2 linked regions of the Nothobranchius furzeri genome follow. The protein of the gene in region 2 interacts with the protein of the main gene of each other region in a biochemical or structural test. Links are inferred from orthologs where the notes say so. Each region holds a gene or a part of one and is shown on either strand. Other genes may lie near its edges.

The links.
Region 1: of the proteins of cgasa (region 2) and rnf185, one has a biochemical effect on the other in vitro, tested with the Homo sapiens proteins (2 studies listed by BioGRID). The link is inferred for Nothobranchius furzeri from reciprocal best matches to the Homo sapiens genes CGAS and RNF185.

The regions. Positions count from the first base shown.
Region 1 is NC_091746.1:52,068,688-52,074,665, forward strand, and holds rnf185 (E3 ubiquitin-protein ligase RNF185), read right to left. Parts: upstream 3,926-5,978; 5' UTR 3,832-3,925; exon of another isoform or gene 3,563-3,831; 5' UTR 3,502-3,562; coding exon 3,317-3,501; intron 2,478-3,316; coding exon 2,459-2,477; intron 2,371-2,458; coding exon 2,258-2,370; intron 2,133-2,257; coding exon 2,078-2,132; intron 1,763-2,077; coding exon 1,645-1,762; intron 1,561-1,644; coding exon 1,463-1,560; 3' UTR 828-1,462; downstream 1-827. Other genes in the region: transcription factor Adf-1, read left to right, coding at 10-713; chemerin-like receptor 1, read right to left, coding at 5,640-5,978. UniProt on the Homo sapiens protein: E3 ubiquitin-protein ligase that regulates selective mitochondrial autophagy by mediating 'Lys-63'-linked polyubiquitination of BNIP1.
Region 2 is NC_091752.1:28,109,911-28,116,018, reverse strand, and holds the start of cgasa (cyclic GMP-AMP synthase), read right to left. Parts: upstream 4,107-6,108; 5' UTR 4,061-4,106; coding exon 3,311-4,060; intron 3,206-3,310; coding exon 2,980-3,205; intron 2,820-2,979; coding exon 2,562-2,819; intron 2,378-2,561; coding exon 2,278-2,377; intron 1,966-2,277; coding exon 1,617-1,965; 3' UTR 1-1,616. UniProt on the Homo sapiens protein: Nucleotidyltransferase that catalyzes the formation of cyclic GMP-AMP (2',3'-cGAMP) from ATP and GTP and plays a key role in innate immunity.

The DNA of each region.
Region 1 (5,978 bases), on a different chromosome or scaffold from region 2:
CTTTTCAAGGTGATGCGTGCAAAAAAAGATGGAAAAATTTGAGAGACCGATACTTGAAGGAAGTTCGACTAGAGATCAAAACCAAGAAGCAGGGGGGTTTTGTGCAAAGTAAATGGAAATACCGACAGCTCATGAACTTTATTGCCCCCTTCACTGGATCGAGGGTTGGTGTGACTGACATGTGTGGCAACACCGAAGAAGAACGTAAAAACCCTGACAACGTATTGGGAAATGAGGAAACCACTCTGTCCGAGTCTGTCAAAACACCCCAGAATATCACTAAGGTAGCGCTGAGTCTGCCTGAGGCGAAGCCCCAGGTGGCGTTTGTGACGCAGCTTCCTGCTCTGTCTCAAGATATCCAGCTGGCCGTCGTAGCCAAGACCCCCCCCGGCCCACAGGTGATCCCGGTCAGCAACAACGGACAGAAACGAAAGATCATGTCTGAGCCGCCATCACCCTCTTCTCCTCAAAGTACACACTCCCAATCAAAATGGCTGTTGAAAGACCACACCACCTCGTTTTCGTCCAGGCCGCGGGACGAGGACGAACTGTTTCTGCTGAGCTTCGTTCCTGCTCTGAAACGACTCGCACCCCAGACCAGGTGCGAAACAAAGATGAAGATCCAGCAGATCATGTATGAAGCAGAATTCAGCACTTCACCTGATGAGAGTCAAGAGAAAAGGACAGCGGCAGGAACACAGGACAAATCTTGAACTGTCTCTAGCCTGCACTTTCACACTTTTGTAGAATACACAGTTAATGAACCCAAATTAAAATCACACAAAGCTTCACCGTCAGTAGAAAAAAAAAACTCACATTCGGAAACATGTTTTTTCCAGCAGCCATTCTTCATTTTGATTATGAAGTCTACAATATTTTACATATAATTACAGTGAAATACAGAAACTGGAGTAGAAATAAAAGATTATAAAGTCTGGAGACGAACACTGTTTGAAATAAAGTTCTTTGAATTTCGCTTCCATCTGAAAGAAGTTAAAAAAATCGGCTAAGATACTGGTTTAGCTTAGCTGCTATTGGCCAAAAACACAAAGGTATTATTGGTCATTTCTCCAGGAAACAAACATCTTAATCATTAGAATCATTAAGTTGCATTAAAGTTTTGTGCAAAAAATTATTTTTGCTTCACAATAAATAGCTGAAGATTCACAAGTCAGTGTCTGGTTGCTCTTGTGCAGATTACAAAGTAGTTATTCAACCAGTGAGTCAAAATATATATTTTTTTCATTAATTCATTTCTGAGATTTTTGCAGCAAGAAGTGAAGAGAATACACAACTTCCCGATCTTCACATGCATTTTTTCCTTCGGAGCAGCAAAAAGTCTGCAGCTTTAACCTTTAGCCTGTTCATTTATCATACCTGCTGTTTAAATGTCCAAACTTTGCCAAAGATTAAGAGACGGAAACCTCACAAAGCCGCACTTCTGTCATTTCCCCCCATGCATTTATGCAATCAGCAGCCAAAACATAATGACCAGAGCAGCAAACAGAAAGAGTCGAGACAGGAACTGTTCATCTGTGTGCTGCGGCGTCCCAGGAGCTGCTGTGTGGGTGAAAGTTCAACAGAAGTTACTGGGTAAATTGTTTTCATAAGAAATGAAAGAACACAGAGGAAATGTGTAACCACCTGGAGGAGGTCGTCCATCATTGATGTTAAAAGCCGTGGCAAAAATACCGAACGGGAAGGCACCGATTCCAAAGGACATCTGGAAACCTCCATCTCCGAAGCCAAATCCCTGAAATCCCTGCAGGGATTTTTAGAAAAAAATGAAAACGTGTCATATAACAAAGTAAGAAAAAAAAAGTGTGACACAATGAGCAGTAAAAGTTGTAGTGATTCTCATGAGGGGCTTTATCTCAGCTGTTCACTAGTAATGGGTCCCAGAGGGAAATGGCTTTTCAGTCATGAATAAAACAGGTCTAAACGGCAGCACCTACATCATTTTTGACTCACGGTTTCATCATGAGCTCATTATAATACTCTAGAGCTTACACGAAACTTAATGTAGTTATTCACAATGATGGTTTAACTGTGCAGATGTATTTGTTTGTGTACTTACACCACGGTTTTCCGGCTCTGGTCTCTGTCCTTGTGGTCGAGGGGGCGTCCTTTCCCTTTGAAGCATCAAATCAGATATACACCGTAAAACACTAACATAATGATAATTCTTGCACCACAAGTGTGTTAATGTAGAAGTGTGATGACACAATAAATCATGTCAACACTTTTTAGCATCTACCTAGGATCCTGTTGACCCGTGCTTCCCCTCCCATACAAGGGGATTACTTTGTCCCGGCTGATGCCAGCTTTACACACCGGACACACTTGTCTGTTGGGTCGAGTCTCCAACCACTGCATGAAGATAAACGGATGTTAACGAGTCAACGGGTTAGCTAGGGGAACATCTTTGTAAATGAAAAAAAATCTAAGTCAGGCTTACCTGATGCAAACATGGCCAGCTGAACATCAGGAGCAAATGAAGTTCATGGAAGTGAAAAAAAAAAAAAAAACAGGATTAGTAAAAAAAAAAAAACCACATTGGAAAATATTCATGAAAACAAACATTAGATAAACTGCTTGTCAAAAAAACCCCAATTAAGGACAATAAAAATAAACACTAATTCTACTTGAATATTTCATACTAATTCAAACATACTGGATAACATTTAAGAGAAAATTAACAAATAATTACTTTGTATGAACACTGATCAGACCACTTTGGCTGCTAATTCATCAGCAAATTTTTGGACATAAAAATGACTAAAATGTTGTTTTGAAAGAGATTCAAGGATTTCACAAAAACATCAGCTAAAAGAAAACAGATAAGTTACCTAATCAGCTAGTAAATTGGCAACTGCCACTTTATTTGACAAAATAAGAGGATTAATTAGATGTTCCAGAACTTTAAAAAAATGTAAACTTTTTCTGATTAGTCATATAAAATGAAAAACACTAAAAACAATAGTGAAACTGTATTCTCGTGCAATCTTCAAACATTTTTGCTGAAGCAAACTGTGAAATAAGTATTTTTATTATTGATGTTAGGAATATAAATGGCTCATAGGCGCCTCGTGATTTTTATCTTGAGAGGCGCTATAGAAATGATACTTTCTTCTTAGACAGACCTGGTAGAACTTAAAACTGTTTTTTCCGCACAGTTTAATTGAAGTGGTAAAACCGGAGACAACATTTTGGTTCATGCTGTACTGCTGAGTTTAGTTCACTTGTGTCCAGCCGCTAAAACTGAGGTGGTTTCTGATTTCACAATGTAAACATAAGTAACATATTTAAATCTTACCAGAAAAGGTGGCCACACAAGCTGATCACGGCATCCTTCGCTGTGTCCAGGCATATGTTGCATTCAAAGGTGCTGTCCTGGCTGCCTCCGTCGGCCGCTGCCGAGCTACTGGATCCCGGGCCGGAGTTTTCAGGAGCCGAGACGGTGGAGCCAGAGACTGGTGGAGAGGGGGCAGCGGCGGCCATTTATTTGCTAAAAGTCGGTCCAATATTCAAGCTAATACGGTTGGGATGGCTCTGTTCGTTCCTGTCAAACACATAAGAAAGTGACAGGAACTGACAGAAGTGGTCTCCCACTAAGAAACCTGAATAAAAGAAAGGAAAAGCTAACTTTGTGTCATCTGATAGCTATGCTACCGTTAGCAGCTAGCAAGCTAGGAGAAAGGCTAAACGAACTGAGGCGTAAACCGAACCACATATACAATTATTACAGTGGCTAAAGGAATATTTCAACATACATTTTGTAACATAGCCTCATTAAAACTTAATTATGACTTGTTGCGAAAATAGCCTTACAGCTGGTTGCAACACTTCCGCAGGGTGTTAGCCCTAAAAAAGAGTAGGACTAAAAAAAAACGTGGCTGTTTCTTTAAAAGGCGTGGCTATTTCTAAAGGGGGTGGGGTTACCTTGTGTCCGGATTAGTGACGTAAAGAAAAGTAGATACACAAAAACAAAAAACTTACTAATAGTTACTCTTGTGATGGAGAATGTTGCACAAACAATGTCTTCTCATAATTATGGAATTTATTGTTTCTGACATAGGTTTGTGAAGAAGTTGGTTGTAGACTGATGTTTAATTCCTTCTATAAGAGTGATTTTTTGCTTATGCGCCAAGATAATGTTTGTCTGAGGGGTATCCATAGACTGTACATACGGGGGTATCCCAGAAACATGTAGCTAGTACTGTTGCACGATATTAGGAAAACCTGCAATGCGCGATAACAGCGATTAATATCTCCATGATGATATGACTAGAAATAAACAAAAATAAATAAATAAAAATAAAAAATACAACGAAATAGAAAAATATAGAAAATGGGCAAAGCAAAAATTGTGATCAAAAGATGTGAGGAAAAAGGAAAAGACAACTAATAAGACAAGGCAATCAGTAGATCCTGGGAAAAGCTAAATCAGCAGAAAGAGCAAAACAAAGCTAACTTGTATGTTAGCCATCAAAGTCAAGTGTCGTCCGCCTAGGGGGCAGGCATCTAACCTATAGAATCCACCCGATATGCCAAATAGGTAAGGCTCTATTTGATCTGTCAAAAACATATGCTTCTGTTTGATTGACAAAATGCATTATGTGTAGCAAGCATTTGAGCTGACCATTTATTGTGATGTTTTCTGTTCATTGTGATACGTGTTTTGCACATGCCGATATCGCAATCTATTCTATCATGCAGCCCTAGTTGCTAGATGGTATATTGTTAATTCAGTCATAAAATTTAAATAAAACAAATAAGGGTTTTACCTTCTTTGCTCCTTTTGTCGTATCAAGAATGAAACTTTAAATCAGCTTTTTTGAGAATTTCTTTTGGATATTCTGGAATGATTTAACCCATTTTGAGCAGAAACTGATGTGCACCTTAAACTCAGAATTTTGCATATTCTATTTAACTTAGTTTTTAATTTTTAAAATTCATGTTTATTGACTATTTTAAATATGTCAGTATTGTTTCTAAGCAAAAACCAAGTTATTTTCATGAAAGATGTTACACAAATCCCAAAGCTGAGAAAAATAAATCCTCACGTATAGGCACAACCCATATTTGGTATTTTTTAATTTTTTTCTATGAGTTAAATTTCATCATTGTAAATGTTTATTGTAGGTAAGGCTTATTTTTAAAAAATCACAAATTTTATTTCGACACTATGTCTAAAAAGTAATTTTTGCTGATCCATCGCACCCATAAAGCAACAGCAATCACAGTTGGTTGTTTCTTTTCTATTTCTATGAAAACAGATACACAAATCAAAGGCACAATCTATTTTTGTTAGTAAATTATTAATTTACGATTTATAACATTAATTATAAATAAATCATCATAAATGCTGCCACATTCTTTTTTTTACCCTCAATTAGCAAAAACATGAAAAAAACAACATAAAACAAACAAAAGTCATTCACGTTGTAGAAACAGTCTTATTTCTCATTCCTTTCTTATTTATTGTTCTAATATACAAGATTAAAAGTTGTTTTCAACTCCGTTACAATAGTATTTGTTTTGATGAGAGAAACGGTTATTCTCCTCATCTCTAATAATTACATTTTAGGCACACTAAAGGCCTAATTTAAGTTAAAGACAAACGTATCAGCCTAATTTTAATGGATTTCCATTGACCTGGACATTGACTGGTTGTAACCAGCTGTACGCAGATCTTCTGCCATCGCATCCTCAAACCTTGAGGTCAGCGATCTCTTTAGAGTTTGATTGAAGTCACTGCCAATAAAAACGTAGAGAATGGGGGATATGAAGCTGTTCGACGCAGCCAGGGCGACCCCCACTTTCAGGCCAGATTCAAGCACATTCAGGCTGTGTTTGTTAAAGTCCAGCTCCAGGAGAATGAAGGTATGATAAGGGATCCAACAGAAGAAAAATGACAGGATGAGCGCCACCATGATTTTATAAGGCTTTTTTGATCTGATGGTTAAACTTCTCAG
Region 2 (6,108 bases):
GTGTAGCGAAGTAAATCTACATAACTAGAATTTATCGCTGTTTGCTATGCAGCTTTGCTAAATCCTGAGAAAGATCTAATAATTTGGCCTATGAACTTATATTTACATATTTATAAAATCGATAGAAGTTCATACACCAATTGGCTTGGTCTATATTTAATCCAGAGATTAATATTTAATTTAAGAGATTTAATTAATAGCAAAAGTTTATTTTTAATTCAGAAGATTTAAACAAATCTTTGCTCGTTCAATGACCAAATATTCACCACGCTGTGTTTCATTTCAAAGAAGAGTCAGTAATAAATTCTTAACTTTTTAAACCTGACAATCTAAAGATGACAATTTAAAAGACAGTTTAAAAGCTTTGATATTAAACTTGGTATTGAAGCAACCTGTGTCTGGATGAAAACTAAAATGAAATGTGTGTGTTAGGATGTGTGAATGGGATCTCAGAAGGTTTCTATCAGAGAGAAAACGCATTCTGGGTGAAAGAGTTTGTTTTGCAGCTGAGCTAAGTTATTTCTTAAAGAAACAGGCATATGGACGCAATCTGTCGGAAGTGTCTACCTCACCCAGTTAGGAGACCCCCTTTTGGATCCGAGATGTCAGGTGGGATGATGAACCCCCAATCACGAGGTGGGTAGAAGAACCTTAGTGCGACCAAATCGGTCCTGAGATGTCTCTGGGTCACAATGACTGATGAAACTGGTTGCGTCTCAAAAATCAATAACTCTGAAGGAGTTTTGCGTCAGCTGGTTGCAGATGGCGTTTTGTCGGAGCAATTCAATCAGCGCGACAGAACAGCTTAGTAGAGGTCGAATGGCTGACCCGATCCTCTGGGACTCTCGTGCCACGGAGAGATTTTGGTGAGCTCAAGAACTGAACTTAAACTGAGGAGTTTAGGTTTTAGCTAAACTCAGGACACACCCTCTCAGAGATAGAATGCTTTGTTATGGAGCAAAGACATGTGAGAGCAGTTACATTTAACCCTGATGTATGTGTCCTGCATGATGTGTATAAGTGCACATGACCTTATTGTCACTGATCAAACATTGCTGATTATCATAAATAATAATTATTATTAACCAAAGAATAAGAATTCATTTCAGTAATTAAATACATTTATAATGAACCGTGATGATTATTTATGAACCTTGTAATAGACAGTGAAAAGATTTTATTTAAAATGATTTTTTTTTATCTTGACGTGTCCTTCATCTTGCGGATGGAACAGAATCAGATAAAAGGCAGTCAGATTAAAGATGGTTTACAGCAGACTTTGTGTCTCCTGTGATGGATAATCTGTGAATAAAAGTACAGCCAGGACAGCTCGACCTAGCTGAGGAAGTGTGACCTTTGGGTCACAAATGAGGCCATTCATGTCGCTACAACTGTATTTACTGCATAATATCAACTGATAATTGTAAGTATAAAAGTGTCAGTAATAAAAAGCCAATTTTTGTAATATATACGTTGATTGAAAAACTAAGCCTTTGTGGGTACTGAATTTGGCAAATATGATTAAGCTTTTTCATGAGTTAACACTTGTTTTAGATCCCCAGTTTCTACCTGGGATTCAATTCAAACCTAGTTTTGGCAGAAGAGATTAAATTCACTTATGTGTTGCAAAGATCTTTCCTAAACACAGGAAAACCCTTATCACATTGCTCCTTGATAGAGTCAGCAAGTTTAATACATTGGTTCTTTCCAACCCCAGAGAGCAGATTCTGTTTGGGAATGAAAAAGTTGCAGAGTTCACCAGTTCTCAGGTGGCTTTCAAAGTCCTTCAGAAGGACCTCGAAGCAGTGACTCAGATCTGAAGCCCTCCATTCACCATCTTTGGTTCTGGAGCAGCAGGCATGTAAGAGCATAGTCTTGACGTGGTAGGAGCAGAACTTGACAAAGGAAGAGTCTTGTTCTTTCAGTAGATGCAGAAGATGCTTGAGGAGCTTTAAGCAGTTTTTCCTGTTTGCAAAAAGTATTTTGACAACTTTAAAGTCAAAACTAAACTTAGCTGAAGGCAAATATGATGATGATGACAATTTAAATACATTTTTTTCTTCTGATTGCTAGAAGTACTAGACTTTCTGCAAATAGATATTTTGCAACAGTATTATAAAAAACTGTACTGAAATTATACCATTGCTGTGTACCTCAGTGATAAGTGAAAACTGTTGAAATATTTATTTTTCTCCATACCTTAATTAAATCTAAATTTGCATTAGGCCTTCTGCACAATGCTGGTCTGTTGTTGTTTTAAGTTCATAAAATTCTGACCTGCAGCAGCTCTCTCCAGCCTTTTCACAGCACGTTCTCTCTGATCCATGATTCTTCATAATGTCCTTTTCAATGTGAGAAAAGGAAACCCGCCAAACATCTGTGTCACAGAGAACAAAACTATCTGTTAGACACCATTTTAGATGCCGGGAGACAAATTGAGTTCATGTTGAGTTTTAGGCAATGGACTTAATATGTCGAGGTGCAGTTTTTCTTCATCTTTATTACATGGCATTTCCTGTTACATTCATAGAAATAAGTATCAATACATTTCTCATTCTTACTTTTTGCAAGGACTCCACCTTTTTCTGCATCCCCCCTTCCTTCATATTTTGGGACAAGGTAATATGGCTTCCATTTGTAGTTCCGTTTTGCTTTAGTTCCAAGCCACCCCTCAATTTTAAAACCATCTTTGGTGAAAGTTGGCCAGGTTGATTTAACTTCAAGACAGAGCACAACATCTAGAGAAATGATGACTGACTCTACTTTTCTTGTCAGAGTCACTGCAGGGCAGCGTGGTTTCTTTGCCGTCATCTCCCATTCTGCAACAATCAGTTATGGTAAGCATAAACATGCTGCCTGTTATACATGGAATCACTTATTCAGTACTTTATACACAGCAAAATTACATTATATCAATAATGTATATTAGGATAATATTGACGTTAAAAGCAACTTACAAAATGCATTTTTGCCACCGACCTGGAAAGACTTTTGCAAATTTTTTCACTTCCTTCCGGAACTCTTTAAGCATTTCATAACTAGACAAAATGTTGTCTTGCTGGAATTTCTTCAAAGGGTTCTCATCACCAGTTGGATCACGTTTCAATGCCACACTGTAGAAGGCTCCATTGTCGTCGAAAGGCTCGATATTAACTCGCTCAACCGGTATGGGCAGCATGACATCAAACTCATCAGGATTAGAAATCTGTACAGACATAAATATGATCATGTAATAGGGAGCTGACTTTAATCCAATCTGCCCCATGAACCACATGTTCACTGTTGAATTTGGGGAGTAAACTCAACTTACCTTCAGATTTTCATAATAACTTCCAGTGCGAAGGGGTTCCTTAACATTTTTAAAACGTATAGAATGGTCTTTTAAATACTCGATCAGATGCTTCATAAAATAATTGATGACTTGCGATGAATCTGATCGTTCCTTACTCCTAATCTTCAAGTTTTCTAGAATCTTCTTAAGAGTACAATCCACGTCGTCATCTGTCCTGTCTTTTGAGGAATTGTAAGTCTTAACTAATAGTGCCTCTGTTCTCTTCTGCAGGACTTTGTCGTTACATTTCTTGGCTTTCATAGCAGCAGGTGTTTTAGTTTGTGTTGCAGTCTTCTCTGGAAGTTGTTCTAGTTCGGTTGGGTCCTTGTTCTGACCTTGTAATTTAGCTTTACCATTGGCTTTGGGAGATGTCTTTTTCAAACTCTTTTGTATCTCTGGTGGCGTGTCTTGTTGAGTGTTCTGCATATCCCCTGGAGGGTTGTCCTGTAATTTTCTCCTAGTAGAGCAGGTTTTTGCTTTTATATTTTCTTCAGGCATCACTAGCTGGTTGTGAATCTCCTCTTTGTTTTTTGTTTTCCCAGCCATTGGCACCGATGGCTTATCTTCAGTGTGGTTTTTCTTTTGCTGATCCAGTCTTTTTGATGTCTTTGCAGTTTCATTCTGCTTCTCATTTTTAAAGGTTGTACATCTCCCTGAAGGTGCTAGTTTGAGTTCTTTAGGTTTTGAGTCAGGACTCTGTGCCCTCTGTGGTCTTTCTCTGCCAGCCATGGTAAAATGACTTGGCTGAAACTGCTACGCGCTGTAAGAATGCACATCTTGTTACGCCCCTTTTGTATTTTGTCAGATTGCCCTTGAACTGATTTTTTACAACTACCACTTGACTTGTGTGTCATCATAGATTAGGTAACTCGCTGGCATTGAAAAAAAATTTTTTAAATGTGAAAGTTTTTTACTTTTATTTCTTTATCAGTAGCTACATCTAGTGGATAAAAGTTTGTATTGCAACAATGTGTTGTCAGACTTTACAGCTGAAAGTTTCAAGATATGTTTCTTGTAATTTCTTGTATCAAATATACACCCAATTCTGGAAGATGATGTGATGTAAAATTTGATCATAGAGTCTCGCAGAGAAGAACTTTGTTACAACAGGCAGGTTCCTCTGTGTCCAAGATTATGAGAAATTATTTTTCAGTGTTTCCCTCCTCACACACTCTGAAGTTATGGAAGTAGATAAGGCAACCAATGTGGAGATGCAGGTCTTAGCTCTATGTTCTCATTGTTAGGAACTTTGAAAGGGAGGAGGATGGAAGTATTTAGAATGCTGCATGTTTAATGTTAAATATAAATATACATGGAAACGGTGTTCACTCGCCCAGACGTGGGTCACCTCACCACCACCACCACCCACCCCCCGGAGCCGGACCTGGAGATGGGGCACGTTGGTGAGCACCTGGTGGCCGGGCTTTCATGGAGCCCAGCCGAGCACAGCCTGAAGAGGAAACGTGGGTCCCCCTTTCCATGTGCTCACCACTCGTGGGAGGGGTGAAAGGGGTTGTGTGCAGTGTGTGACGGGTGATAGCCGAGAGTGGGGACCTTGGCGGTCTGACCCTCGGCTACAGAAGCTGGGTCTTGGCAAGTTGAATGTCACTTCTCTGGTGGGGAAGGAGCCTAAGTCTGTGTGCGAGGTTGAGAGGTTCCAACTAGATATAGTCAGATTCACCTGAACGCATGGCTCTGGCTCCGGAACCAGTTTCCTTGAGAGGGGTTGGACACTCTACCACTCTGGAGTTGTTCCCGCTGAGATGCACCAAGCAGAGGTGGGCATACTAGTTGCTCCCATCTTGGTGCCTGTACGTTGGGGTCTACCCAAGTGAACGAGAGGGTAGCCTCCCTCCACCTATGTGTGGGGGGACGGGTCCTAGTGTGGTTTGTGCTTATGCACCAAACTGCAGTTAAGACTACCCACCGTTTTTGGAGACATGGCGGGAGTGCTGGAGAGCGCTCCTTCTGGTGATGCCCTCGTCCTGCTGGGGGACTTTAGCAGTGCGCTACCAACACTTTATAGTGGGAACCGTGTGCTGCTGACCTCGACTCGGGACATTGTGGATTGGCAGGCGGAGTAGTTGAAGACCTCTCCAATCCCATCGGCACGTCTTCCAGTGAGGAAGCAGAGTTTGGGGACTTTGGGTTGGACTCTCCAGTCACTGGTGCTGAGGTCACTGAGATGGTCAAAAAGCTCCTTGATGGCAAGACTCCAGGGGTGGATGAGATCCACCCGGAGTTCCTTAAACATTTTCAAAATGCTTTTTTTCTATTTTTACAATTTTCATAGTTTTTGTTTTTGTGAAGCGCCTCATGATTTTTATCTTGAGAGGCGCTACAGAAATGATATTTTCTTCTTCTTTGTCTTAAGGCTCTGGATGTTGTGGGGCTGTGTTGGCTGACGCTGCTCTGCAATATTGCGTGGACATTGGAGGCAGTTCCACTGGACTGGCAGGCTGGGGCGTTGGTTCTCATTTTTAAAAAGGGGGACCTTAGGGTGTGTTCTAACTACAGAGAGATCACACTCCTGTGCCTCCCTGGTAAGGTCTATTCAGGGGTCGTCGAAAAAAGAGTCTGTCGGATTGTCTAACCTTTGATTCAAGAGGAGCAATGTGGTTTTTGTTCTGCCCGTGGAACACTGGACCAGCTCTATACCCTTCTGGGTTCTGTAGGGTGGTGGGAGTTTGCCCAACCAATCTATATGTGTTTGTGGATTTGGAGAAGGTGTTCGACCGCGTCCCTCAAGAGGCCCTGTGGGGGGTATCTCACGGGTA